Linked DNA regions of Rhinolophus ferrumequinum. The protein of the gene in region 2 purifies or fractionates together with the protein of the main gene of each other region. This does not show direct contact. Links are inferred from orthologs where the notes say so. Each region holds a gene or a part of one and is shown on either strand. Other genes may lie near its edges.

Region 1 (7,647 bases), on a different chromosome or scaffold from region 2:
AAGAAAAAGGTAAGGAACCCTTTAGGAAAACAGGTTAAGGAGATGAACAAGCAATTAAGAAGGAAAAATAACATTGAGCAACGAACATCTGAAAGGCTGTTTAATTAAAGTAAGATTTATTTTTCCTTAATCTGAGTGTCAAAAATTAAAACCACCTAATTAAATGTGTTATAGAGAAATTCGTACTTTAATACACTATTGGTGAAAGTGTTAGGTGTTTGGGGGAGGGCAATATGGCAGTATATGTTAACACTGAAATGCTCCTCAATCTGTCCCTTCCACTTCTAGGTATCTTAAGATATAAACAAGGATGCGTTTTTCAAGATTGCTTTTAATGGTAAAAAACCTGGAAACAATCCTAAGGTTTATTAGAAGAATGAATAAAACTATGATATGTCCATGATACATCTGTATCATAGAGTACTATATAGTAGTTAAGAACAAGATACAAGAACAAGATAGAACTACATCTATGCACATGGAAAGATCTCAAGATATGGTTAAACACAAATCCAAATGTATAGCAAGAACCCATTTTGTAAATGCATTGCAAGTGTCAGAATCGATACACCTAGGGGCGGCCAGATGGCTCAGATGGTTAGAGCGTGAGCTCTTAACTACAAGGTTGCCAGTTCGATTCCCACATTGGATGGTGAGCAATTCCCGCATGGGATGGTGGGCAGCGAGCGTCCCCTGCAACTAAGATCGAAAACAGCGACTGGACTTGAAGCTGACCTGCGCCCTCCACAACTAGACTGAAGGACAACGACTTGACTGGAAGCTGATGGGCCCTGGAGAAACACACAGTTCCCCAACATTCCCCAATAAAAATTTAAAAAAATTAAAACAAAAAAAAAGAATAGATACAGTGATTACTTCTAAGAAGGGGTAAGGGAACAAAAACTGTGGGCTTTCACTTTACCCGAGTAATTTGAATTTTAAATAAGGCTGATTAAGAAGTAAAAAGGAATAACAAAAACAGTAAAAATCAAACATGGAAAATTCTTAACATGCTAAATACCTACATTTAATAGGGAAGTACTAAATTAGAAGGAATGACCCTTCACAAATAGAAAGCTGTGAATGACAGGAAGCTACATATGGAAAACTAACAGAATGATGGCTTATGATTCAATATGATCTTCATCTAAATTAAGAATTTTGTGCTTCAAATGGCACTATCAAGACAGTGAAAACAAAACAAAAAAAGAAAAACCAAAAAGTAAATAAATAAAAAGACAGTGAAAACAATCCACAAAATAGGAAAATATATTTGCAAATCATAGATGTTATAAGGGACTTGTATCCAGGATAAAGAATTCTTACAACTCAAAAACAAAAAGACAAACAACCCAATTTAAAAATGATCCAAGGTTGTCAACTATAATTAAAAATAAAAATGGTCAAAAGATTTGAAGACATTACTCCAAAAAAAAATTTACAAATGGCCAATAAGCACCCAAAGCTGTTCAACCTTCTCAGTCGTTAGGGAACCGTAAATTAAAATCACAATGAGATACCATTTCACAACCATCTAGGATGATTATAATCCAAAAGACAACTAACAAATGCTAGCTAGGGTGCTGGGAAAATGAAACTCAAACAGTGTCGGTGGGATGCAAAATGGTGCAGTGATTTGAAAAAGTTTGGCAGTTCCTCAAAAGGTTAAATAAACATAGTTACCATGTAACTCAGCAATTCCACTTCTAGGTATATGGCTAATAGAAACGAACACATACATCCAATACAAAAATCTGTAGTACACAAAAGTTCATAGCATCATTATTCATAAAAGCCAAAAGTGGAAACTCAACTGTCCATCAACAAAACAAGGTTTAAAACAAACAAACAGCCTTACATTTAGGTCTAATGAGCAACCAAGCAACTGTGCGTCCACAAACAAACCACTAACTAAACATTAACTCATAAGACTTGGGGGACTGCTGTAGTAATATAGAAATTTGTAATTAAAATCTAAATCATACAGACTTTCTGACATACTTTGGAGCCTATACCCTTAAAAAATAATCAAAAGGAGGGGATAAACGATTTGGACAAAGATATTTCCAGTAGTGCTCTTTTATAATAGCGAAAGAATCCAAATTTCTCACAATAAGGAACTATGTAGATAAATTCTAGTTATGAAAAAATATGTAACTTAATAAAGTTTAATAAAAATGTCACGTATGTGGGTGATGTCCGTAACTTTTTTAAAATGGATATTTATCCAACCATACAACACATATTTAAGCAATATACTACGTAGAGGGAGCCGCTTGAGAATAAGGTGTTAGAGCAATGCTTCTCAAACTGCAGCACTCCACGTTTTCCTGGGGCGGCATTTTCCCGCTGGGTTCATTTAATACTGACGTTAATAAAGCTGGACAAACGGTGGAGTAAAAAGCTAAGTCAGCAAAGAATCGCTACTAGAAAAGACACCAGCCTAGAGAAATGGGGAGCCTGCGGTAGGGCCTGGGGCTCCGCCCCCAGATCGTCCTTCCGACCTCAGGGGCGTTCAGGCGGAAAAGTTTGGAGGCCCTACCGGCTTCGGGGCCTTTCTGCTCCCCAGCCTTCTCGCTCCACTTCCTTTGCCTCGACCGTCAGCCTCGGCCCACGTCCTGGCCTGCCCAGTGGCCCCCAGCCGGGGCAAAGCAAGCGCCGGCCACGCCGGGTCCGGCCCTCGCCTCAGACCCTGCTCTTCCCCCTTACCCGCCCTCGGCACTCAGGTCTAGACCCCTCAGCCGAGCCGCACTCACAAGAGGAAGCTCATCTTCTATCCTCAGAGGGGACGGGAGGGGCCGCTGGCCCCCGCCGCGGTCAGGATTCGGAGCCGGCGCGGAAACCGGGACGGAGCCCACAGTCCTCAGCCCGCCGACAGCAGAAGCACTGGCCTCTGCTGCTCCGAGCCGGGGTCGAGCCGGTATAAGCCGGTGCAAGATGCTGCGCCCACCTCGCCGGCCTCCCCCACCTAAGAGATCTCAAATGCGGAACCAGCATAATCTCGCGAGAGAAGGCTTCGCTCTGCCCCGCCCCTCGCCGACAGGGACTGGACGCGCCCCTTTTCACCCCGCCCTCTTTTAGAGCTCACCCAGTCATCACCTCTCCCAGTCACAGCCCTCAATCCGGGCCTTGCTTCTCCCACAGGGATGGTAGTGTTGCGGCCCTGGACGGGGTGGGGGTATGCGTGGGGGGGATGGGGGTTTGGGGGTATGTGGGGTGCGGGTTGTGAGGGGGAGTGGCTGGCCTTGTATTTGTTGCTTTTGGTTTACATTCCCTGGATAGCATGGAGCGTCTATGAATGCTGCAATTGTGAAAATGTAATTTTAAATTGACATATATTTCATATAGCATAGAGGTCACACTTTTAAAAAAATGCTCCAGTGTTGTGTTTTTTTAGTATGTTCACAGAGTTGTGCAACCATCACCACTCTTTAATTCTAGAATATTTTCATCACTCCCAAAAGAAACCAGTACCCGTTAGCAGTCATTCGCCATTCCTCCCTCCTCCCAACCCCTGGCAATAACTGGTCTACCTTTTTATGTGCATTTGCCTACTCTGGCCGTTTCCTATAAATGGAACTGTACAATATATGGTCTTTTGTGACTGGCTTCTTTCACCTAACTTGATGTTTTCAAGATTCATCCATGTTGTATTGTAGCATATACCAGTATTTCATGCCTCTTTATGGATGAGTAATATTCCATTGTTTGAATATATTATACCTTATTTTATCCATTCATCTGTTGATGGACATTCTGTTGTTTCCACTTTTTACCTGTTATGAATAATGCTGCTATGAATATTTCTGTACCGGTTGGTCATGAGGAGAAGTAGACGTTACCACCCCAAAATATGCCGTTTAGGATACTATTTTAAGCTGGTTATTTTCAAGAAATAAAAGACTCTGAGAGAACTTTAATCTTCCCCCTAATTGCCTAAAAGAATTTAGATAGAAAACCTGCTCCAAATGGGAACTATTATCATACGTAACGATAATTTAATATGAATCAAGTGTGATAGACAGGAAGGAACCTAGCAAGGCCTTTTGATCAAAGTTTTCTTTGTGTCCCATTGTTTAAAATGACCCAGGAAACATTTATTTACCAAACTTTTGCTTTTTCATCTCCATGTGAATTGTCTTCATATCATTGGAAGTCCCAACTATAATCCTCTCTTCTCCTTAGCTCAAGATGGTATATAAGCCTTAAGTGTCCATCTGTACTCTGGTCCTACATGCTTAGGGAGCCCTCATATATATACATACGTAATAAATTTGGTCATTTTCTTCTGTTACTCTGTCTCATGTTAATTCGATTATTAGTCCTGCCAAAAGAACTTAGAAAGGTAGGAGGAAAATTATTTTTTCTTCCCCCACAGTCATATGGTAACTATATGTTTAACTTTTTGAGGAACTGTCAGACTATTTTCCAAATCAGCTGCACCATTTTATATTCCCACTGGCAAATATCTGAGGGTTCTAATGTTTCCACAACCTCAATAACGTTTGCTATTTGTCTTTTTTATTACAGCCACCCTAGTGAGTGTGAAGTGGTATCTCATTGTAATTTCGATTTGCATTTCCCTGTTGGTTGATTTTGAGAATCTTTTCATGTGCTTATTGGCCATTTGAAACAAATTTATTTTTATCTCACTTTAAAGTTACCTCAGACCCTCCCAAAGAACCATCCAACAACTCAGAAAGGGGTTCTGGTACAATAACAGTCTTTATTCAGTGTCTCCATGACATCACCATCCCTTTATTCCTCAGCACCCATCATCCAGATTCTGCACCCTGCCCACCCTCCCACAAAATCTTTTCTCACCAAGATCTCCACTGTCTTAGTTTCTAAATCCAATGGGCATTTTTCAGTCATTGTCTTACTTGCCACTTAGTTTTTTCTTTTCTTTTTTTTGAAGATTTTATTGGGGAAGGGGAACAGGACTTTATTGGGGGAACGGTGTGTACTTCCAGGACTTTTTCCAAGTCAAGTTGTTGTCCTTTCAGTCTTAGTTGTGGAGGGCGCAGCTCAGCTCCAGATCCAGTTGCCATTACTAGTTGCAGAGGGCGCAGCCCACCATCCCTTGTGGGACTTGAGGAATCAAACTGGCAACCCTGTGGTTGAGAGGACACGCTCTAACCAACTGAGCCATCCGGGAGCTCAGTGGCAGCTCAGCTCAAGGTGCTGTGTTCAATCTTAGTTGCAGGGGCACTGCCCACCATCCCTTGCGGGACTCGAGGAATCAAACTGGCAACCTTGTGTTTGAGAGCCCACTGGCCCTTGTGGGAATCAAACCGGCGGCCTTCGGAGTTAGGAGCATGGAGCTTTAACCGCCTGAGCCACCGGGCCGGCCCCCACCACTTAGTTGTATCTGGTCGATCCTAACAGAGTCCTCATTTGATAACAGTGATTTTATTTTTTTAAGAACCTCTTTTGTTTTCTCCCTATGATCTGGCTTCTATATGGTGGGAGTGTGGACATATAGAAAGGGAGACCATGGCCAGATTTGTTGGTAATAGTCTGCTTTAGCTAGGTGTTTTTGGTAGCAAGTGACAAAAACCCACACTGTTCATATTTCCATCAGAACTATCTTACATTTTCTTCCCACTAGATTGTGAATTCCTTTAGTGGCAGAGATATAGATTGTTCATTTAATCTAATGCTCAGCACAGTGCTTGGTACACAGAAACTACTCATTGAATGAATGGACATGTAGACTGGAAATCCCAGTCTAATAGAGGAGATTGATACAGAAATAAGTGGTAATCCGGCGTGGCCGGATGGCTCAGTTGGTTAGATTGCAAGCTCTGAGCAACAGGGTTACCGGTTCGACTTCAGCATGGGATGGTGGGCTGGCCCCTCCCACCCCAACTAGATTGAAGATGGCGACTGGACTTGGAGCTGAGCTGTGCCCTCCACAACTAGATTGAAGGACAACTTGACTTGGAGCTGATGGGTCCTGGGGAAAACACACTGTTGCCCAACAAAGTCCTGGAAAAAACACACTGTTCCCCTTCCCCAATAAAAGAGAGAGAGAGAGAGAAAAGTGGTAATCAGTGCAGTATTACCAGTGCTGATAAGATGAAAGACAAAGTGACTCAGTGCTCTTTCTGACTTGGCCTTTAGTTTTCTGGTTTTCTAGCTTCATTGCTCAAGGCTGTGCTCCAGCCAAACAACTCCTTCCTATTTCCATAATAAACCCTGGACCTCCTTGAATCATTGCTCCTGTTCTTGAAATTCTTTCTGGCTGGAATGACCCAACATCCTCATCACACCCTGTCCTTTAAGATCCAGCCAGAAATCCTCTTTCCTTCCTCTATAGACCTTTATATCCTTCTTACAACATACAGAGGGTACCAAAAAAATGTATACACATTTTAAGAAAGGAAAAAAACTATTAACATTGTAATACTCAATATATACTGATAACAAAAGGTGAATACAAGCCACGTTTGACTTCTGCAATTACAAGAGGTGCTCAAAGTGGTTACCATCAGCATCCAGACACTTCTGATTATGGCGAACTACTGCTTGAGCAACATTGACCAAAGTGTCCACTTGTATACATTTTTTTGTCACCCCCAGTACAATCACAATTCAAGTTTTTAGAAAGTAGTATTTTCATATTAAATAGCTCTTGTGTTAGGGAGTCGGAATTTCAGGATTTATGTTCTCTTGCTTTTCTGAAAATTCCATTTTTTCTCTAGTAAACACATACTTATATTATTTTTTACTTTTTATTTTATTTTAAGAGAATCAAGATAGAATAGTGACTAAAAAGCTTATATTTTGGAGGTGATGGTCTGGGTTTGAACCCTGCCACTGCTACTTAATAACCATATGACCTTGATTATTTTTATAACCTTTTGTCTCAGTTTTCTCATCTGTAAAATGGGGGGGGCAATCTCATAGGGTTGTGAGAATTAAATGATTTAAGGTATAGAATTCACTTAGACAGTTCTTGGAACATATATACTCTAAATCAACATTTGGTATTTAATAGGAAGAAATTTTGACATGTCTTATCACCTCTATCAGATGACCAACTTTTGGAAAGTAAATCCCTATTTACTTGTATTTTACATGTGCCTCTTGTGGGCCTTATATCAGAGTAGATACTCAGCAAATATTTGCTAAATGAATGCGATTGGATTTTTGCCTAAATATTATTTTAGACCAATTTTTTAACTGATGCAATCCCTGAATTTCAGAAGTTTTGTGTAGCTTGAGTAGTTTTATCTGTTTGCCCAGAGAGTACTTTCTCATTCTAAACACAATTTCAGTACCACAGTCCGTTTGTGCTTGCTCTTGTTGGTACCAAAGTACCAAATTGTTATTGTGGGGACAGAGCCAGGAGTGCAGTTTCCAGGCTCTCAGCCTCACGTGGAAAGGTGCTGGCTCAGGTAGTAAATGGCCATCAACTGTGATTGGATGGCCATCAGCTGTGGCTAGTTGGCCGTCAGCTCTAACCAGTGAGCCATTGGCCACTAATATAACTGCTGTGGCTACGCTAGCAGAAAATGGGGGCTAGCAAGAAGATGGTGGCTGAGCCAGCAAGTGGCGGAGTGAGGGTTGCAGATCGTGTGGCTCCTGTTTCCTGTGTCTCCAACCCAGCTGGCAGCAAGACTATAGTGGTGTGACTCCCCT
Region 2 (7,952 bases):
ACATATGTTGTTGACACTGCAGACTCTTGAGGAAGAGAATGTTCGTTTAAAAACCATTTCAATATAATCATTCAAATGCTTAAAATAGGGGGTAAAGTGAGAGATTCAACTCCATGACAAGCAAATGCAACCCCCATTCTGTTCCACTGGCTTAAAATGTACTGGTAAGGAGATGGCTCTCAGAACCACCGAGAACTGTAATTCTCCTTTGTAAATTCTATAAAGAGAAAGGATGCATATACTTAAATTTTACAGTTTGTGCTCAGTGCTGGACCTAGAAAGCCAAGTAGGTAGACTGAGGGATGCTGAAAGTCAGCCTGAATTGTTCTGATATACAGCTGCAGTTGCACTGTCACAGGCATCAGGACTCCCATTTTGATGAGAGCCTCATTCAGAAAGGTCCATTATAAAAGCTTACATCTAAGCGACTAAACCTCCCAGTCACCACTAAGAGGTCATGAGGTTCATTTTCAGTTTCAATGTTTCCCTTTAGTTTATTGGTTAGAGTGCCCTCATGTGTCTGTATTTTTATACTATGGAGGTTTTGAAAAAGGTTTAATATTAGAATCATAGAACTTGAAGGAAATTTAATCTTTTGTAAAAAACTGGATATTGACTGCATGTAAGGTCCTATCCCTAAATAATAGTTAAAAATTTTTAACAGTGATCTAAATCACACGAGTATCTAAAATGTACAGCTACAATGTAAAAATGAAAAACCACCCCCACCCCTAGTGAGAAAGAGCACATTTCTAGTATTTTAGAAGCTCCCAGGATGCCCTTCATAAATTGGGTCATCCAGCTTACTCTCAGAGATAACACTATCCTGAATTTAGTTTTAATCATCCCAGTTCTTTTCTTTATAGTTTTACCATGTGGTGTTTGTTTCCCTAAACAGTACTTTTTGTGTGGGGGTGGGGGGAGACAGGGAATATTTTCCTAATTTTGAACTCTGCATAAATTGAATCCCATTGCGTTTTTCTGACTTGCTTTTTTAATTCTACTTTTAAAAGAGCATATTCATTCATTCATTTACTTTCAACTTTATGTATTCCATTTTACCAATATACTCTTGGTAGACATTCAAATTGTTTCTAAAAGTTTGACTATGTGTAACAATTTCTCTGGGGCATAGCATAGAAGTGGAATAGCTGGGTCTTCACGTGTACTCATATCCAGTCTTTCTAGATAACATCAATTTTTCCAAAGTAGATCAGAGTAGCCCATAAAAACTCCCTTTTCTCCATCTCCTTCATAGCACTTGGTTGTCAGATTTCCATCTTGGCCAATCTAGTTGTGAAATGTTATCTCATTGTGATTTAAATGTGCGTTTTTCTATGATTATTCATGAGGTTGGGCATTTTTTCATGTTTACATGCAATTTGTGTTTTCTTTGAAAGGCCTATATGCCCTTTGCCCATTTTCTATTGGATTGTCTTTTTCTTACTGACTTATAGGCATTTTTTTTCCTTTGGTGGGGTATTTTTTAAAATAGCATGATACAGCATTCATGCAGAAGAATGCATAAAACATAAATGTACTGTTTAAAGAACAATTTAAAATCAAACGGTGTAATCACCACCTCAATAAAAAAAAAAAACACCTTTGCCCCTCCATGGTCACAATCCATTTTTTTCTCAGAGTTAACGACCATTCTGACTTTTGTGGTAATGACTTCATTGCTTTTCTTTTTATAGTTTTATCACCTGGAAATGAATCCTGAACAATATGGCATTGCATGCTTTTGAATGTTGTAAGAATGGGTTCACATAGTATACATTCTTTTGTCTTCGGCTTCTTACACCTACCATTATGCTTGTGAAATTCATGATGTTTCACACAGTTGGTTTCATGTGGCTGTAGTTTGTTCATTTTTGTTGCTGTATAGATACCACAATTCATTGAACTACTGTAATGCTAATGGACACTTGGGATGTTTCCACTCTTTTTTCTTATGAACAATACTGCCAAGAACATTCTTATGTCTCCGGATACAGCTGAGCAAGGCTGTCTCTAGGGTATATACCAAGGAGTGGTATTGTTAGATCTAAAGTATACGTATCTTCAATTTTACTAAATAATCCTAAACTACTTCCCAAAGTGGTATATATACCATTTGAGAATTCCCATTAGTCTACCAACAACTGTCAGAATTCCAATTTTTACCCAGAGGTACGTGTAGTTTAAAACCAATCAATTAAAGCCGATCACTGTGGTTTTAATGCATTTCCTGACTAGTAATGAGCTTCAGCACCTTATGTTTATTGGCCATGTGGATTTCTCCATTTTCAAATCAATGATTTTACCCATTTTTCTATTGGAATTCTTCTTTAGTTCTTTCATATCCCGGACCCTAGCTCTTGTCAATCACATGCACCCCTGATACCTTCTTCCACTCTGTGATTTATGCTTCTCTTTCTTTATGATGTATGCTGAAGGTTAGGATTTGTTGTTTTTTTTTCTATTTTAATCTAGCAAACTTTGTCAACCTTTTATGGTTAGTGCTTTTTGTATCACATATCCCTATCCATTGGTCATGAAGACGGTCTACTATGTTATTTCCAGAAAGTGCGAGTTTTGCTGTTCACACTTAGGTCTTTGACCGCTCCCGAAATTCTGTGTAGGGGTGGGGTGGGAGGAGTCCTTTCTTCCCTCAGTCCAGGTCACTCACTGTTCCCTCTGTTTTGCAGTGCCTCCCTAGTCTTAACTCAGGGACCACGTTCGGGCCCTTTTACCACGTGTTACCCTACCTCTATCAAAAAAGAGCTCGACAGTTTGCTAATAAAGGCATGTTTTTGCTTACTCACAACAGGACCTCCTGTACTGTTCTTAGGCGTTTTGCGTTAAGGTTTCCATAATTTCGTGCGAATACGCCCTCGTGAGCTTATTTGGCCTGTGAACATTTCAGGGAATGCATAAATACCTTGGCCAACAAGGTCCGGCGACGTCCCTCAGAAGTTCCGCTGCGGGGACGCCAGCGCCCGCCTCTTCCCGAACAACACAACGCGCAGGCGCGGCCTGTCTGGGTTAGTGCACCGCGCAACAAAATGCGCTTGCGCCGCGGAAGGCCCCGCCCCACCCTCACCCCGCCCTGTCTGCTATAAAGCCTCGAGCTTCTCCTCGCGAGACACTTCGTTCTCATGCTAGCTGCCGGGGTCGGAGGTCAGAGCGAGCGTCTCGCGGGCCACAGGAGGAAGATGGCGGTGGAGTCGCGCGTCACCCAGGAGGAAATTAAGAAGGAGCCGGAGAAGCCGATCGACCGGGAGAAGGTGAGGCGTCCGGACGAGGTGCCAGTGGGCTGGCGGGGTGGAGAGCGGGGCCTGCGCGCAGGGGGCGGCTCGGAGGCCGCGGCGCCTGCGGGAGGCTGGCCGCGCCGCTTCAGCTTGTTCCCTTGCCTTTACTCCTGTCCCCCAGACGTGCCCGCTGCTGCTGCGCGTCTTCACCACCAACAACGGCCGCCATCACCGCATGGACGAGTTCTCCCGAGGGAACGTGCCATCCAGCGAGCTGCAGATCTACACCTGGTGAGTGGGCCGCGGGACGAGCGGGCACCGGCGAGTCCCCTGGGCCGGTGGGGAGCAGCCCCCACTTGAGCCTGCGGGCGCCACTCTCACAGAGTTAGTTTCGGCTGTTAAGTGAAAAGATCGGTCCGACCCGTCTTGTAAGCTTCTGCGTCTAATGGTGAACCTTTGGCGTTGTGGAGTTATGGCTGCTTGGTAGAGCAATGGCACGCAGATCGTTAAAATGCGGCAGCCGCCCATAAGGGGCTGCCGGTCGAATACATGGTACTACAGTCACGGGGAAGGGTCAGCCATGCTGTCGAGTGATGTGTGTTGTCCTCGAGGAGCACTTCCAGGTGATATTGAGCCTTACTGCCGTAGCATCAAATATCAGCAAAACCGGGGTGGTTTCTGATCTGATGCATAATAGAAAAGATTTTGATGTGTGCTCAGTGAAGACCTGCCCCTGAATGTGTATCTCTTGTGTGTACCTTACCTACCCCGAGTCTGACTAGGAACGTTATACACAGCAAGCAGCATGTACGTGTAATTCCTTCGTTTGATTGACATCATAATGGTTTTTTAGTAGCAGTACGAAAGGTATACTTTTTTAAAATTTGTCTTTTGTGTGTGTGTATTACATTTGCCATTTTAACTGTTTTTAAGGATACAATTCAGTGGCATTAAGTATATTCACATTGTGCACCATTACTGTTAATCTATTCCCACAACTTTTTCATTCCCTCGCAACAGAAATTCTATACCAGTCCGGGTATATCCAGGGTAATCTACTTTGTCTCTGAATTTATCTACTTTAGACACTTCATATAAGTGGACTTACACAATATTTGTTCTTTTGTCTAGTTTATTTCACTTAGCATAAGTTTTAAAGCTTCATTCATGGTGTCACATACAACAATTCTTTTTTATGGCTAAAATTTCACTGTATGGATATACTACATTTTGTTGGTCCATCTATTGATAGGCATTGTGGGGTTGTTTGTACATTTCAGCCAGTGAATAATGCTGCTGTAAACATGGGAGTACAAATCTCTTTCAGCCTGCTTTCAGTTCTTTGGGTTCTATACCCAGAAGTGGGATACAGTTGGTTCTATACTCAGAAGTAGGATTGCAGGATCATGTGCTCATTCTATGTTTAACTTTTTGAGGAACCGCCAAACTGTTTTTCACACAGTATTTTACGTTCCTCTAAAGGTGTGTAATTTTAAACTGTAAGCCCAATATACTAGAACTCAGCTCTTTAAAGATTTGGACCTTATTTGTCTTTTTGAAGGGGCTTGTTAAGTTTATGTAGTAGTATGAGTCCAGTTCAGTATATCATCCCAGAATAAAGCCAGAGAAGGTTGATTTCAGTTAGAGGGAGGAACTGTTATTACTGGGTTGATGAAAACCTCTGTTCAAAGATTAAAGTGTATATTTTCTCCAACAAATAAGATTTTGTTTGCCAGGTGCTGTACTTAGACCCTCAGGGCATAAAGGAAAGATGGTGCTGACGCTCCCTACAGTGAGCTCAGTCCAGCGAGAAAGCACTCTAACAAATGCTAAGGAAGACTAGGGTGAAGATGGCAGGGTGAGATTGTTCAATAGATCCTCTACTCCCGATCAAGATTAGAAAAATTCCTGTCCTAAACAAACAAGGAAAGAACCTTATACTATACCTCCAAAAAAACAGATTCTGAAAGACTGGATGGTTGGTGTGGAGGTAGCGCAGAGACCTGTCCCTCTCCCAGAAGCAGGAATGAGGGAGGTTGGTTAACAAATCTTAGGAATTCTCAATTTTTGGAACTGGACCGAGAAGCTAATGTACACAGCCCTAAGAAGTCAAGGAAAAGGCAGTGGGAGTCCAGAGGAGCCCAGCAGAAACCAGTTGAGTTTGCAAAAGTTCAGGGCATTGCGTGGGGCTGGGAACAAGACAGATACACCAGAGTGATACGTGTCCTGTGATTAGGTGGTCATTAAACAGGTTACTGGAAGAAAATCATGTAGGCCACTGTATCAGGGTTCACCCAGGAAAACAGAACCATCAGCAGTTTTAAGAGATTTATATAACAAAGAATTGGCTTATACAGTTGGGGGGGCTGCCCGGCGACCTGAATTCCTCATCTGTAGGGCAGTCTATCAGGAAGGGCACTGCTTGAAATCTGGGTCCACAGCCGGCTACGGCCCTCAACTGATTGGATCAGGCCTACTGGATTATCTAGGATGATCTCTAAAGTCCAACTGATGGGACTTGAATCCCACCTACCAAATAGGATGCTCCTTGACTTACCATGGATGGGGTTATGTCCCGATAAACCCATGCTAAGTTGGAAATATCGTAAGTCGGAAATGCATTTACTACTACGCTGTAGAGTATTCGTTGTTTACTCTTCACCTGAGTGCTCAAGCTGTGGACTAGTCAGAAAGTGCACTTGGCAGTCCAGCTGCTCTAGGTGACAGCCCTCAGCAGGCAGGCGGGGGCTCATGGAGGAGGACTATTCACTGAGAGGTGTGAACCAGCTCCCCATGTTCGTCCTGAGCAAGATGAAAATCTGGAAAACGTTTGTAGAAAGGAAGAGAATCCTTTTTGGTACACACAAGTACATTCTGTATATCAGGAATAATTGATTACAATAAACAGCAGAATATCGGGTTAAAGAAAGTCACTCGGGCCTCAAGTTTCAGGCCAACATTGGAGATCACTGGGGACAAAGTAAAAATAAGCTACAAAAGGACAGGGTTGAGAGGAAGAGTAACATCGTTACGAAGTTTTACAATTCCTTCAATTTGACTTTAGTTTTTCCTTCTGTTAATTTCAAGTTTTCTTAAAAATATGTGTAATATTTGAAGCAGTTTTTTTTGTATTGTCTCAGCATATATAACACGCTTGATGATCAATTTCTGTAGCACTGTGCATGTGCACAGAAAGATGCCAGAAGTGGTGTAACGTCACTGGTTACTGCTGGGTGGTGAGGTGTGGGATATAATTTACTGCATTCCTGCAGATGGCTTTCCCCTCTTTCAATAATGAACATGTGTCATGTTGGGAAAGGCAGTCTTGCACAGCTTCTCGCCTATCACAGGGCCACAGTGGCCTTGGGCCTGGGTCATTTCCTTGTAAAGAGGTAAGGGCCCTCGCCGCCTGTGCTGAGCTTTGCTCTGTCCCTGTCCTGGGCTTGATGTTCTTTGTGCTGCTCAAGCATCATGTGGCCCCTTCCCTGCTCATGAGAGGGACATGCAAGACCGTCTGATGGGCTGCAGGTGAGAGCTGTAGGCAGTGGGGGGACCAGCAGTAACGTCTGAAGCTTGTCTTGCTGTTCCTTCTCAAAGTGTTGTCCGTGTCGTTCTTGGCAATCCCAACACTGCAAACCCTGGAGTGGGGTGACATCCTGGGTGCTGCTCCTGGCGGCACATGCTGTCGTGCTCTTTGCTGTCCTCCAACAGTGGGACTCCTCCCCGTAGGTGGGAAGGGGTAAACAGAGGAATTAAATAATGAGAGATTGAAACAGCACCAGTGGTGGGCATGGAGAAAAATGATTTGATCTGTATTGAGCAGGTGGAAACAGCAGGGTAACGATGGGGAGAGGGGAGCAGTGCTTAGCTTTAGGGCTGGCAATTGAGAGGGCATCGGTTGTTCTCATGGTAACGAGAGGAGCGGCTTGTTTCCAGAGCACCTCCTTGTTTCCAGAGCACCTCCGAGCTGGTGGGAGCCTCCATGGAAAGATTCGATTTGGAGTTTTTTACTCAGTGTGAAGCCGAGGCTTGTAAATAGAGTGTTAAAACTAAATGGCCTTGGGCGTTTGACCCCCTGCCTGGTGCTGTGTTTCAGAGTTCTTAATTCTTCATCAGTGCCTGGTGTCCTTGTGTCATCTTATGGGCCCTACAGGCTATGCTGTTTCAAGTTTTAGGTCATCTGTTTCATCTTCCCAGTTGCCATGAAAGAAATACAGAAATTTATACTGGTTTGTTACTGTTTCCAAGATGCTTGTATTTTTAATAGATTTTTCCACATTTGTGCCACATTAGCTCAAAGGATTATATTAATTTCTGAGATCAAATAAATATTTGCAGGGCAAAAATATACATTGTGAAAGGAGCATGTGCTTAGTCTTGAAACTTTCATGTTTCATTGGCTTTTTAGGATTCCATCTTAGAAAGGAGAAGCTGCACATCTGTATGAAAGAGCTTGCCTATCACATGCATTCTACGATGCATTGCGATTTCACAGATGCTGAAATGTGGAAAAGTATGTGTCTTAGAAATAATGAAATACGACTGTTTTAAGTATTTGGATTAATTTGGACTAGTTACCTTAAAGGGGTAAATAAGTAGGCCACCAGGATGTTATAGCAACAAAAATTACCATGTGTCATTCTGAAGCCCCTTTTAGCACTAACGGTCTGACTTTCACTCCTTAAATTTCAAACACCGAGGTTGGTAAAGGGAGTATTT
Region 3 (7,083 bases), on a different chromosome or scaffold from region 2:
AAGGCCCCCACCCCTGGGGGCAAAGTGTGGCCTCATTGAAGTGTAGATCTGTCCCAAGCTTGCCATGCCAGGGGGCCCTGTCAGAGCCATTTCTTTGGGAAGCTTTTAACATTATAGGAAGACCAGAGCAAATTGCTCAGGCATGTCCGCCTCACCTCCTCTAACCCAGGATATCCACACCTAGGTTCTTCCTGCCATTTTATAGCACTCTCTCTGAGCTCTTTTTTCCTTTTGGCTCTGATGGCTTAGCCAAAGAGACTTCTTTCCACCAACTGCCATTTCTCCTGGGCCTCAAAAGGAAACTGAAAAAAGGATCCTGTTACTTAGTCTCCCTTGAGCAAAAAGCATCATCTGCTCCGGGCTTTCCCCTCTAAGGGTAGTGGGAAAAGGATGGTGGTATTGGATCGAACTCAGCAGGGCCGGTTCAGCCCTGCTACCTCTGTACCTCCTCAACTTCCCTCCCTGGGCAAGTTTCCCTCTCTATTCACATTTCTAGAGGTCAAGAGCATGGGGTCCATCCAGGGCAGGAACTTGGATGGTGAGAAAGGTGAGGAGATACCTGGAAAACTGAAGAAGCCCATAGCCCTGGCTTCTTTCTGTTCTTCCTACCACAGTGATTGGTATTTCTTTATATATGAAGTGGTGCCTGTGGGTCTTGGCTATAAGATATTTCAAGACCCCAATATTCCCCTCCCCGCATAGCTGAGACATAATCAGTACTTCTCAAAGGTAATGGCATGTGGGAGAGAGCATATGACTAGGTGTCCTTAACAGCCACAAAAAAGAGGCTAATTCTAGCCTGAATTCTGGGCAAGTTATGGCCAGAAATGAATGCCAGATTCTTTCTGGCAGTTCCACAAGGTTGTTATCCATCCAGGGGCGATGGTGTCCTGGTGGTCATGGCTTCTGCCCTGACTTCCAGAGGATGGGAAAAATAGAAACTGACACCACCAGGTCTCCGCTTAAATGCCCACGCACACACTGAGCCAGCAGGACCGGAGGGAGCCAGCAGAAGGGTCCCTGCTTTCCGTTCCAGGGCGCTTCGTCCTCCCTCCCAGGCTGCATTTACCCAACCACCGCCACCGCTCGGCGCGTGTTAGGAAGCAGGCCCCCCCCTCCCTTCCGCCGCACCCCACCCCTCTGCCCAGCGCCGGGCGGCCGGCCCCGCCCGCGGGCACCTGGAGCGCCGGGACAGGAGCCGGCACGCACGCGGCCGGCCCGCCCCGACCCCCCCGCGCATTCCCCGAATTCCTGCGGGCGGAGCCTGGGCCGGGGTGGGGGCGCAGCGCGCAGAAGCCTGCTGGGGCACCGCCGCCAAGGGGGGAGCAAGATGGGGGATGCTATCACTGCCCCTAGGTCCCCTCCCTACGAGGCCTGCTACCGCGAAAAACCGAGGCTCTAAGCTTGGGGAACTGGGATTCACGAGATAATCAGGTTACAATATAGCAGAAATAAGGAGCCCCTAGTCCAGCTGAAATCCAGTGGGAAGGGAAATCCCTCTGGCCTCTTAATAGCGCCGCGTCTCCGCCTCCGACCTCCCCGCGCCGGCAATGTGGACGGTCGGGGCAGTGAGGAACAGAATGTGGTGACGGGTCCCTTCCTGTCCCTAACCACTTTTCTTACTCACCGAAGTAGTCCTCTCTCGCCTCCGGCTCCCGCATCCGGGTCCGGGGCGCCTCCGGAACGAACGGACCCGGCGACTCCTCGAGACCCGACGGCTCAATCCCCGACGGTTCCCCACGGGCGCCGACCTCTCGCCCACCGGTGCCCACCGTCAGGCGCAGCAACGCTGTTAGCTCATCCTGGTATCGGGCGCCCGCAGCGCAGTCCCCGTAGCCGGTCACCGAGTGTCGTCCGGGTTGCGCCCCTCGTCTCTCCAAGGGCCCTGCCGCTCCCACTCCAGCCCCGGCTAGCGCTCCGGGGCTGCCCAGGGCCGGAGGATACGAGTGGCGGCTTTCCTGGCAGCCGAACCCCGCGGGCCGATGAGCGCACAGTCGGTCCAGGGCAGCATGGAGCTCCGGGTAGGCGGAAGGCATCCCTCCAGGAGAATAGCCCGCCGGAGCCCCCGCCAGGGGTGGGCCAAAGAGACATGGCCCGGCGGGCAGGGGACTACCGTGGCGCTGGTCGTAGCCCATGCTGATGCCGCTGGTACGATTGCTGCAGGGTCGGCTACCTCCGGCTCCGCCAGCCCCCGCCCCGTCCAGCAGCAGGCTGCCTCGGGGGCTGGACGGCTTGCTCGCGTCGCTGGCTGAGCTACTGGCGAAACTGGAGCGGGGGCTTAGGGCTGGGGCCGTGGTCTCCAGCCGAAAGTCGGGGGGCAATGACTGAGGTAGAGGCAAGGCCCGGGTGGGAGGTGGGCCCCCGGGAAAGGAGACTTCATAGCGCTGCGCCTCAAAGGAGCCGCGCGGGTTCCGCTCAGCGTCCAGGGGGCCTTGCTCCCGGGTTGGCTCCAGCGGCTCATCCCCAGGTCCTCCAGTAGCTCCACGGGGCCCTGATTTCCTAGGTCCCCCCGACCCACTCAGGCGCCCCTTGCCCGACCCGGGGGTCCCATCAGACCCAGAGCGGCTAGATTCACCCTTTCTGCGGCCGAACTTAGCGCTGCCGGAGTCCGAGAGTCTTAACTTCTCCAGCAGGCGACTGGCTTTCTCCCCTAACCGCTCCATGCCCTCGGACCTGGGGCCTCCAGCCCCCTTCCCGCCCGGCACCCTGCAGCGTCTCGGCGGCCGCTTCTTTCCTTGCTGTCGGACTCCGGTTCCCAAGGGGCACAGGGTAAGCACACAGGTTTAGCCAGCGGCCCGGATGCCCAGCGCCAGTAATCCCACAGCATCCCCCAGCGAGAGGGGCTGCGTCCCCCCGCGCATCAGGAGCTAAGCAGGTCTACAAGGGCCTACAGCCGCGGCTGTCCCGTCCGCAGGTCAATCTGTTCACGCGTCGACTTGCCCCGCCGCCCCACTCTGCTCGGCCCCCGCCCCGCTCACTTTCACACTCAGCACAGACCAAACTCCTCTCCCAAACTTTTGTCTGCCTGGCCGGATCTACTTTCCCGGAGGGGCGGAGCGCCGACTGCGAGAGGAACGAGGGTGTCTGCGCAGGGATCTCTGGTTCGCTGAAGGGGGCGACGGGAGCTGGTGCTAACTGTCCTGGAGGTGGAGATCCACCAACTGAAGAGAGGAGGGCAAGTTTGGGCAGCGGCTACTACGTCACTCATGAATTGGGACAGGAAAGTTTTTTTGGGGGGGACTCTTTGTTTGCAGTTGGAATGCGCGGAGGGGCACCGTGGAAGGTCGCGGTCGGCACGGGGACGACGCGAGGCATGTTGTGCGCAAACACCGTGACTTTGTTCTTAGTGTGGAGACTGGGAGAGATGGAGAGAAACTAACGCAGAAGTAGGGAGAGATCCATAAAGAGGAAGACAGGGAGAAGAAGGAAGGTAGATACAGAAAGAGTTTTAATGCCGCGTGCGTAGAGTCCAGAAAGGCTGGGAAGTCTTTATAGAGAGGTGGTGGAAGACAGCGAAAGGGAGCCGGAGCAAAGGGGATCGAGGGTGGTGCTGAGACCGAAGGGTGAATAGCCTAAGAAAAAGACAAATTTGTGCAAGTCCAGAGAGAATGAGAGATAAATTGCAACAAAAAGACACCACTTTCTGAACTCAAAGCTCTATTTAGGGAGGGAAGGAGCTTTAGTGTCTATGTAAAAGGAGGACAAGGTTTGGGACTAATCTCTAGCTTCAGGTTAGGACAGGTAGAGGGATAGACACCCCCTGGTGTTGGAAAATGAAATTTTTAGCAAATATTTCAGATAACTGGGGATAGAAGGCCTGGTTTTAGGGCTAGCGAATGCCTCTCCCTTGGTTGGCCCACAGGAGATTGGTGATAAAGAGTAAGTATTAAGAGGAAGAAAAGAAATGTCATTTAGAGGAGATAGCTAGTGAAAATGACCGGGATGGAAAAGGAAAAGAGGCTGATACTGGCCATACTGGAAGGATCAAGGATAAGGAAAAGAAGAAACCGAGGCTGAAGTTGAATATACCTAACCAAATACCAGCCAACTGATTTTGCCCAAGCTAGCACATAAGGGGCAAGGGACGGAGGAAGTAAAATGGAGAAGGTAACTGACTCCTTTGTATTTAGATGAGTAAATGAGTATGAAAATTATATGCAAACAAATCATGCATATTATTTTCATCTAAACATTTTGAACACCTTTATAATCTTAGTGTAGCCTTAGGGAATGGGGAAGGAAAGGAGGTTAATATCTTTTGGGAAATTAATTTGGCACGAACTTTTTGGCTTCTTTGTCCTAGCTGCATTGTTTCCCTGGCCTCGTCTCTCCTGAGAATCAGCCTCTCTGTTTCCCTGGTCAGGCCTACAGCTTTTCTCTGATCCAGAGGAGAGTTTAGTATCAGACTGAAAGCAGGGAGGACTGAAAGCATTAGTAGTAGCAGGTGAGCTATCAGATTGCATCCAGAACTTTTATGAGTGACATCTTCAGAATTAACCATAAGGGTCTCCCTCCTTTGCTGTCTCCAGTTGGAGAAGGAGACGTGGATTCTTCCTTCCAATTATTTACATCCAAAATGTCCAAACAGCCTCTAATATTTGGAAGCTTTGCTCCTTTGAGGTGAGGATGGGAGAGTAAATCTTATGAAAAGATGAGAAACCATTAAAGGAGGCCCATCCGTCCAGGAATTGGTGGTGGCACAATGAGCACAGTTGGGATCAACAACTGTGTTTTCGGGGTATCATGAAGTGGACACGAGTGAAGGGGGGAGAAGTGTGTGCTGAAGGCATGCTGCAGTAGTGCTCATGACCTCGGGGTAACCAGTCCGTAGTCTGAACTGGAGCCAGGAGCTTCAAAGGCCCTATTTTCCATCCCCAAGACTTGAAGGTCTACTATATACGTGTATATACAGATGACTCCCAAATCTGTATCTCTGGCCCAGACTTTCTTGGACTTAAAAAATTCCATCCACTTGGTTGTCTCAAAGGCATGCAACACCCTAAGCTGACCTCACCTTCCCTGCCTCCCAAAACTGGCTCCTCCAGCATTCCCTGAGTACATGGTACCATTAACCACTTAGCTGCTTAAGCCACAAACCTGAACAGCAACCTTATGTTCTCCCTTAACCTCAAATCTAACCAAGTCCTATCAATTTTGCTTTGTAAGTATCTTTCATATTTGTGCTCCTTTCATCACCACTGTGTCTGTCAGGCCACCATCTTTTCTGTCCTGAACCACTACAAAAGTCTCGCTGTGGAGACTTTCTCCCTCGAATTCATCTCATACCCTGAGGTCAAGTGATTTGTCTAAAACACAAAACTGATCATCTTGTTTCCCTCCTTAAAACATTTCAGTGATTTCTCACTGCCCTTGAACTGAAGTCTACACTCTTTAAGATATTTTACAAGGCCTCTACCTCTCCAACCTCTTCGCTAAGCATCCCCTCCCCGAAGTGTTATGCAGTAAAATTGCACCTTGTCTGTACTCTCTAGTACTTTCTGTTGCCTATGTTTGGAACACTCTCCTGGCCTCCCCTTTCCTTCTGGTTAATTCCTCCCCATCTTTCAGGAAACAGTTTAAACACCACTCTAAGAAGCCTTACACCTAGTAAGCAATCAATGTTTGTTATATGAATGATTGAATGGAAATCCATTTTTACTTCTCAATCTATTAAAAATGCACACGTTTTGTATGCTAGTGTGTGTGTGTGTGTATGTGTGTGTGTGCATGCGCACACACCCACACACATCACCCCTTCCTTAAAATACAGCTTGGCTGACAGGACTAATAAATAGCTACAAAGCCCTGTAAACTACCTGCTCACACAGTCACAGAGCAGGTGCCAGTCACACATGAGAACTCTTTAAGCCTTACTTTCCTCATGTGTAGGACGGGAATAATAAAGTCTGCTTTATATAATTCAATAACCAATACCTATTACATCTAAACCCTAATTCCCACACAGGGATGGAGCCCCTATTCTGCTCAGGAGGAGCAAGCCCATGGCTGAAACTGCCCACCAGGTGGCAGTATTACCCAGGACGGGTCCAGTGCTGCTGCTACTGCAGAGCAAGTCACTGAGAAGCAGCAAGTACAACCAGGGCTGCTTCCCCAGAGCTTTGCGTGAAACCTGAAAAAACAAACAAACCAACAAAAACACAAACAAAAAACAAAACTCAGAGACCCAGGCATATGTCAAGAAGGCCTCATGTTTCTTAGACCCATCCTCCTCCTTTTCTCATCCCAGGCTCTTCCGAGGCACTGTTTATGCTTAGAAATAAGCATTTTCTGGCTTGCCATTCACAATGGGTGTGTTGGGGGGGTCCCCTTTCCAGATAAGTCCTTTTATCCCACCAGAGCTTCCAGCTTTCACTTCCAGTAGGGACTGTGTTAAGAAGAGAGGCAGACTTGCTTTCTCAGACTGCAAGGACATCTCATTATTCTGGGAAGCCCGATAGCCACCCATTACTGGGACATGGGGAGTGGCGGAAGCCAGAGTCACTCTTGGTTATAGAATTCACTCATCCTTTTCCACCTTGATTTCAATGAATGAGTTCAAGTCAGGACAGCAGGTTTTGTGGGGCTGGTCAAAAGATGGGGAGACAGGTCCATTCTCATCACCTCCCTCATCTTCCTCTTCTTGGAAATTAGGATTATAAAGTTCTGGTGGAAGGAGCTGGGCCTCAGCAGATGGTAATCGGTCTGAGGGAGGCCCATACACACGGTTGGCTTTAGTGCCATGCTTAGAGTTGGCATCCAGGTGGTAGCAGAGCTCTGTGAGGCGCTGGGCCCGGAAACGGGGAGGCCGGGCCACCCAGACACCTGGTTCATTAAGACTGTCCTCTTCATCTGACATCAGCTCTTCTGTCACATCCTTCCACAGACGCTGGTCCTCAGGTCCGAAATGCCTCATGATACTGGATCGGTTGGCAAAAAGCTATGGTAGGAGCACAGGACAGAGATTAGGAAGAGAAACACACTGTGGATTAGGTTTGGGGAGAGGGTTTGGATGAAAGGAAGGCTGTGTAAAATCCATGCCTGAGAGAACCCAACCCCAAGGTCAAATCTTAGAACTGGCTTACC
Region 4 (7,043 bases), on a different chromosome or scaffold from region 2:
TTGAAAAAAAGAGCATAAAACCCAATCTGCAAGTTGAAGCAAAACCAGCAAGGAGCTTTCCAGTGTGAGCCCTGAACAGGGAGTCACCTGGCTGCTGGCTGGAACCCTGGATGGGGGCTGAGTTAGCAGGGACCTATCTAGTCCACAGAGCTCCATTTTCCCGGCATGTCAAGACCACTTGGCTGGCTCTGCAAATGCTGATTGCAGGGTACCACCCCAGAGTTCCTGATGCAATAGGTCTGGGGTGGGGCCCTATAATTTGCATTTCTAACCAGTTCCCAGGCAAAGGGATGGGGCTGGTCCAGAAGACTACTACACTTTGAGAACCACTGCTCTAGAACAGTCTTCCATGCTCCTGTTACGGCTGCCTCAAGTGCACACAGTACCTATAGACAGACAGACAGACATGCGCACATGGCTGCACAGAGCCCCTGTCCCACCACCCGTCCTCAAATAGCTGGACCTGTCTGGCCCAACCGACTATGGATGCACCACCGCTCGGGGGTACTGGCACCTGGGAAAGCTGCTGCATTCAAGTCCTGAACAGGCCAGTCACTGCACGGGCTCTGAGGCACTCCCGAAACCCTTGAAAACCAAAGTCATAGCACTTCCCTTTTCTAAAAGCAGTCACGAGCAATCCCACCCTGTTTCACCCTTCGCACATGGGTAACCCCCAGCTGCAAGATCTGCTTTCTGCCCACGCATGCTTTCAAGTTTCTGAAGCACAAGAAACAGCTGAAAAAGGAAGCCAAATTTAATGGGGAGGGCAGGAGGGAGGGGCCGGCCACTCAAGGAGAGCTACAGCATCCCCCGTGGGGGACTCCATCACCTACTGTGGGCAATGCCACCAACCTCTCACTCACCAAAGTAATCGGCCTTCGGGTGAGTGTCCATCTCACGCTCCAGACGTTGGGTGAGGGCTTCTAACTTCAGTTCGGCGGCCGAGGGCCCAACCTCAGGGCCCGGGATGAGGGTCTGGCAGGGCAGCTTCACTCTGTGGGTGCTGGGGCTCTCTGGGAGCACAGGCCCCAGGCTGCCATCAGGGGACCAGCCAGGGGGACCTTCTTTACAAGATAACTCAGGCAGGGTGGACATCACTGGATGGACACGGCTGGTGGGGCTGAGCTTGGGACCAATGCCAGGGTCAGTACAGCCAGGCTTGGGACCCAGGCCAGGGGCCGCACCCAGCTGCAAACTGTCCATGCTGGCCGGTAAGGATGATGGGCCAGAACTAGAAAGGTAAGGTTTGGGGCTATCCTGGAACCAGAGTTGAGGGTCCACATTTGGTTTGGGCATTATGCCTGAGACCTCACTCCCCACCCCCGAGTTTGTTCTTGGCAGAGCTCCTTGACTGGAGCAGCTCAGGGCCAGTGGTGCTGAGAAAGAGGGGGTCCTGGGCTGAGCGGGCCCCAGGTGGGCCCCGTTCTCCAGGCCTGGGGAAGGAAGGCCAGGGCTCACCCGCTGGGAAGAGGCAGTGGTCCAAAGACCTGCTGGGTTCTCACTGCTGCGGCCACAACCACCACCATCCTGGCCACTCTCGAATGACTTGCTGGAACTCGGGGAGAGCTGAGGCTGGTACAGGTGATGGTCCCTGGAAGGTCTGGGCAGTGGTGGATCACTTCCTGGGGGGCCAGGCCACCCACTCCCTACACCCAGCCTGATGCCGGAGGACACTCCTGGCCCTTCACCCCACTTCGGGCTTGCCAAGGGGAGGTTGTCATAATAGTCTCCATGGGTGAGGCAGGAAGGATCCTCGCAGGGGCCCAGCCGGGGGAAAGTAGACATCTCAGAACCTGCCATGTTTTCCTTGGAACCACAGTTCTGGCTGCCAGGCCTTGTGCCATGGACATACTGCCTGGCCCTCTGCTCCTGGGGTGGGTACAAGGGTTGCCCAGCAGTGATGGCGGTGGCTGTCCCAGGAGCTGCTGTCGAGGCAGCCAGAGGGGGCTTGGCAGCACCATCCATGGTCAGCTTGCTGCCAGCACCAACCTCCCGGTGGGCCTGTGGGCCTTGGCGGCCTCCACCATTGACCGGGCCTCGGCTCCCCCTGGGCAGCGACTCGTCCTGCAGGAGCTGTTGCTGCTGCTGGAGGTGGATTTTGGCCATCTTGGTGGCAAACACCCTGCGTGTTTCCTCAAACTCCGGGTTGTTGCCTGCACCCTTGTCCACTCGGAAGAGTCCATCCTTGGAGGCCTCATACATGTTCAGGTCCTCGATGAATTTACTGGCCTCCAAGCCCAGGTCGTCGTACTTATCCATGTCGCCAACCGGTGAGGGGGCGTAGACCAAGGCGCAGGGTAGTGTGGATGCGTGTGTTTGGACGGGAGGAGGGGGTAATGCTGGAGAAGGACGGGGGGCTCAAGTCCAGCCCAGGAGAAGTAAAGCCTTCCACCTGCCCAGCGTGAGAGTCATGACCCCGGGCCTTAGAGTCTAGCCGAAGTTGAGGCCGCAAGGCCAGCTGGACCAAGTTGGCTTCCAACTCCCTTTCCCCTTGGAGGTGTCCACGTGGGGGCAGATGGTGGCGCTTCGCTGTCCCAGCTTGCTGTGCGGTTCTTTTCTCTTTTTCAAATCATAAAAGAAAAAAGAAAAGAAAAAAAAAATCACATCCTCTTTAAGCAACCCAACTCGGAAACCCACAAGGCAGCTGCCGGTGTACGGAGCAGGGGTGAAGCCGGCTCCGCCGGAAAGTGTAGAGGCCGCCGACGCGTCCCGCCGGAGCAAACGCGCGGCGGCCAGAGTCGCAGGCACGTCCCGGGCGCTCGGTCCCCGCGGCTTCGCTGGCGGCTGCCCCGGAGCTGTAATCCTGGCCCGCGCCAGGAGGGAGCGCGGTCTGCGGCGCACGGGCCGCCCGGGACGCGGCAGGAAGTTCCCCGCAGCCGGGGCGGACGGCCTATTGTCCGATGGCGGCGGTGGCTGGGCGCGCACGGGCCGAAGGGCGGCGGGACACGGAAGTGAGTGCGCCGACCGCCGTCCCTGCCGCTCGGTCGCTGGCCGAGCACTTCCCGGGCCTGCGAGGAGGCGGAGGCGGGGGAGGTAGCGAGGGGCGGGGGCGCGGCCGGGGGGCGGGGGCGCGGCCGGGGGGCGGGGCCGGCGCGCGGGAGGGCGGGCGCCCGGGGCAGGTCTGCGCCCGGCACCTTGGCGCAGCCGCCGGTGCCCCGCGAGGCTGGGGAGACGTGGGAGGGACGGGGGAGTGTCCCGCACGCTCGTCTGCGTTCCAGCGCCAGGATTGCGCCGGGGGGCCCCGTTGCCACTGCCGTCCCCTGCGAGTCCCGGCTTTGCCCGGTCTCTGGCAGCGCTGGGCCCCGACCTCCGCGCTGTGACCTCTGGCAGGAGACCTGGGCAGCCTGCGTGGCCCCGAGAGCGTGCCGCTTTGAGTTTGCGGGAGTCTCGGAGGCGCGCGCTCCTCGTCCCACCGTGCCTCAGTTTCCCGGGCGGGAAGCCAACCCCGCGTGTGCCTCAGGACGCCGCCTCTGATCCAGCGGTGCCCGCCGCCCAACTTGCCCAAGGTGCACGGTTGGAGACCCCGGGGTGTCACCCGTGGGCTGGCCCGACGTCCTCTTTGACAGGTGGGGAGACTAAGGCACAGAAGGGAAATGTCCGGGATGCCGTCGTGACCAGCAAAGCGTGGATGGGCGCCCAAGTCCTCTGAAAGATCACGTTGTTCCGGGAGCGCGGGCCTCTGAGGTCCTCAGGGCAACAATTAAAACGCGTGTCCTGATGGCTCCTTATCGTATAGGCATTCCTGACCCCCATTTAGATCCGTGACTTTGGAGGGCGCGGCTGACTCGGGATCTTCCTCATATGGCCCCGGGCTCCCGGCTCCCAGCACCAACTCCGAGGTGACAGGAGAGGTTTCATTTCCCCCACGGCAGCCCGAGTGATCCTAAGGCAAATATCAGACCAGTCACTTCCCTACTTAAACCCTTGTCAATTTAAGAACGTTGAAACCTTAGAGAATTTTATAAAAGTTTATTTGGGCCAAACAGAAGCTATGCCAGGAATCAAGATTTCAACAGTTTGAGATAAACGCTTCCCCAGAAATGACAGTTTGCAGCTTCTTTTATGCATTTGGAATTAAGGAGGTAACTAAGGATGGTTATTACACGAGGGTGGGAGAAAGCAGCCACCGGCCTACAGGATAATTAAGATTATGTGGTCGTGCTTTTTTAGAAGGAAGGGTCTGAAAAGAGGCATTTCATTGTGGGTTAACCCTAGATGCACAGAAACCATGGGCAGGGCTTGCTTAAGGCAAAGATATAATTTCACTAAAAAGTTATATGCCTGGGGCCTGACCACCCACCTCAACCTTCCCAGTTAGGAATTTATGATCAGATCACCCTGTGAGGTGACTTCCTATAGAACCCATTTTTGATTCACACCCTCCAAGCTACGTCAGAAAGATTGAAATCGGAGCGTTGCCACAGGGCTCCCATCCTAGCAGGCCCTGCTTCCCCCCCTCACCTGATTCGGAGTCTCACCTCCCTGCGCTCTAGCTGCAGGAGCTTCCTGGAGTGTGCCAAGAGCCTGTCCTTGAACATCTCAGGCTCATCCTTCCCATCTCCGCCTTCCCAGAGTCATTCCTGTTGTTCTTTTTCAGCACCCTCTAATTAATTTCCTGATCAGTCCTGATCACTATTTTAATTATTTACTATATCAGTTTACATAAGGCTTTTTTGGTGGTTGGTTGGGTTTCAACCTCATTAGACCACATCTGTAAGCCCAGTACCTGGTACATAGTAATATCTAATGGTTGAATAAGGGAATTAGCGAATATATCTGCCGGGGTTGTGACAAGGAACAAATAATATACAAGAAAATGCTTTGTATTCTGCAAACCCAAAGTGTGATTCTTGGGCCAGTAGACTGGAATCACCAGGGAGCTTGTTGAAAATGCAGAATCTTGAGCCCCACCCCAACCGACAGAACCAGAATGTGCGTTTTCACAATATTCCTGAGTGGTTTATTTGCACAATCAAGTTTGGGAAGCACTGCTATAAAGAAGGATACTAGAGTGAGGTATTTTTACTTTTAGACTATCTTTTAATTTTTTTAATCTACAAAAGTATAAAATACTATTATGTTCATGATAACAACTTTGAACAATACAGAGATACGTAAACTTCTTAAAACTTGCCCACAATCCCCTTGTTCAGAGGCAAGCATTATTCAACATTGTTATGCCCTTAGGTATTCAGGAATACTTGTTAATTCATAACAGGATTACTCATAAATTGAATACTTTGCTGATGAAATTTCCAGGGCAGTGGTTTTCGAAGTATGGTCTTGGAACCAGCTCCATCAGCATCACCTAGAGCTGCTCTAGATCAGTGATTCCCAAACTTGACCACACATCAGAATTCCTTAGGGAACATCTTAAAACGTTGGTTGCTGGACCTACGTACCTCCAGAGTTTCTGATTCGGCAGCTCTGGGGTGGGCGCTCAAGAATGTGCATCTCTAACAAGTTTCCAGGTGCTGATGCTGCTGGCTCAGGGGCCACACTTGGGAGCCACTAGAGTCCTAAGTCCCATGTTTCCTCAAGGCGCTGTGGCAGAATCCTGGTGCACACAGAGGTGAGCACATCTATGAGAGTGGAAGGCTGTGGCCCACGTAGCCTAACCCTTTAGTATTGGGGATGGAGGCGACAAAGCACTGGGAACATGGGGCCGACCCTGTGCAAAGTCTAATGAGCCCAGGGCCAGCTCTCTGGGTGTTCAGTGCTTGCAGCTGGGAACCCCGAGCAGGAGCCACTGACAACAGCCGGGGCCTTTTGCAAATCAGTCTTCTCTTTTCATCCTAGCTGGGCAGCAACCTAGGCTCACACTCCATGGTTCCCTCCTGCCCCCCTCCTTTGCCCCCATCTTGGTTTGCCTGGAGTGCTCAGAAACCATGGACAATACGCCCCACTCCCACTGCAGGTCTAGAAGTAACTGCACCATCTCCACCAACTAAACACATGCACCTGAACCCACGATCCACGTATTTCCTGACCAAACCAGCTTGCCCCCTCCTAGTCAGTGGAGCTCCTTGTACTTTTACAAAACAGCTTATAAAGATGAAGTCCCATGAGCAACACAGCTCATAATATACTGCTGTGAAAAGGTACTTAGAAATGCTAGAAATGGCCAGGGGGCCGCTGGTGGTTTTACTGCTGTATTTAATTATTAAGGGCAGAGATGCTTCCAAATTCTGTGCCCCGCGTTTAGAAGGACAGCGTGGTTATTTAATATAGATAGGCCGGTTTGGACTGTTCTGTGTGCTTGGAAACGTCTGCAGATTAATATCTCCAAAAATGTGTTAATACGTGCACACCAGTTGTTTATAAAATGAGTTACTGAACAGCTAGATATTTATCAGTAAATAGGCAGAGCATGCATCATTTTGTTTAAGTGCTTACCGATAACATGCTGTTTTGTCTGTTGAGTAAGAATTGTCCTATGCTCTATTTTACCAGTGAAGCCATGCCAGGGCAATGCTCGTTCCGGGGCCCCGCCGCGGTAACAGAAGCCAGTATCAACACACAGTTTTCCTTTAGTCCTGAAGTCTATTTTCATGAGCATGCAGATGTAAAAATTGTCTGCCCATGAACACACTCATGAAATGTGGAATTTTTTTTTCATTATTTAGAGAATACTTGATTCGTTTGTGTAACGAAACGTGGAATGTTCAACTTGACCTGCCCAGAATCTCAGTAACATCTGTCAGATCGTGTCCCTCCCCAGCTCCAAAGCCTCCATCCTCCAGCAGCATCCTGAATCACACTTAGTGTCAGGTCCTCCCCTTGGCCCTCCATGATCGGACACCCTAATTTCCCTCTATGCCCCCAGCTTGCTCCCCTTCAGCCACACTGACTTCCTCGCTGTTCCTGGGCCTTGCCCTCACCATGCATTCATTCACTCACTGAGCAAATGTCACTGGGCACCTAGGATGCCCTGGGTCCTTTTCCTGGTGCTGGGAATATGGCAGTGAACACAAGAGACACCCCTGTCTTATTTGGGACTTACGTTCTGGGGGAGGGGGTGTTGAACCATGAACCAAATAGAT

Evidence for each region. The genes of interacting proteins can lie anywhere in the genome.
Region 1: the proteins of LATS2 (region 2) and MOB1A purify together in Homo sapiens (affinity purification with western blotting; 9 studies listed by BioGRID and IntAct, with this or other methods). This does not show direct contact. The link is inferred for Rhinolophus ferrumequinum from reciprocal best matches to the Homo sapiens genes LATS2 and MOB1A.
Region 3: the proteins of LATS2 (region 2) and AJUBA purify together in Homo sapiens (affinity purification with western blotting; 3 studies listed by BioGRID and IntAct, with this or other methods). This does not show direct contact. The link is inferred for Rhinolophus ferrumequinum from reciprocal best matches to the Homo sapiens genes LATS2 and AJUBA.
Region 4: the proteins of LATS2 (region 2) and LIMD1 purify together in Homo sapiens (affinity purification with mass spectrometry; 3 studies listed by BioGRID and IntAct, with this or other methods). This does not show direct contact. The link is inferred for Rhinolophus ferrumequinum from reciprocal best matches to the Homo sapiens genes LATS2 and LIMD1.

Annotation. Positions count from the first base shown.
Region 1 is NC_046296.1:17,798,615-17,806,261, reverse strand, and holds the start of MOB1A (MOB kinase activator 1A), read right to left. Parts: upstream 3,008-7,647; 5' UTR 2,771-3,007; coding exon 2,757-2,770; intron 1-2,756. UniProt on the Homo sapiens protein: Activator of LATS1/2 in the Hippo signaling pathway which plays a pivotal role in organ size control and tumor suppression by restricting proliferation and promoting apoptosis.
Region 2 is NC_046287.1:104,818,734-104,826,685, forward strand, and holds the start of LATS2 (serine/threonine-protein kinase LATS2), read right to left. Parts: upstream 3,019-7,952; 5' UTR 2,924-3,018; intron 1-2,923. Other genes in the region: histone deacetylase complex subunit SAP18, read left to right, coding at 3,141-3,269, 3,415-3,524. UniProt on the Homo sapiens protein: Negative regulator of YAP1 in the Hippo signaling pathway that plays a pivotal role in organ size control and tumor suppression by restricting proliferation and promoting apoptosis.
Region 3 is NC_046289.1:73,541,552-73,548,634, forward strand, and holds the start of AJUBA (LIM domain-containing protein ajuba), read right to left. Parts: upstream 3,008-7,083; 5' UTR 2,664-3,007; coding exon 1,628-2,663; intron 1-1,627. Other genes in the region: C6H14orf93 (uncharacterized protein C14orf93 homolog), read right to left, coding at 6,518-6,937.
Region 4 is NC_046300.1:9,550,892-9,557,934, forward strand, and holds the start of LIMD1 (LIM domain-containing protein 1), read right to left. Parts: upstream 3,008-7,043; 5' UTR 2,260-3,007; coding exon 864-2,259; intron 1-863. UniProt on the Homo sapiens protein: Adapter or scaffold protein which participates in the assembly of numerous protein complexes and is involved in several cellular processes such as cell fate determination, cytoskeletal organization, repression of gene transcription, cell-cell adhesion, cell differentiation, proliferation and migration.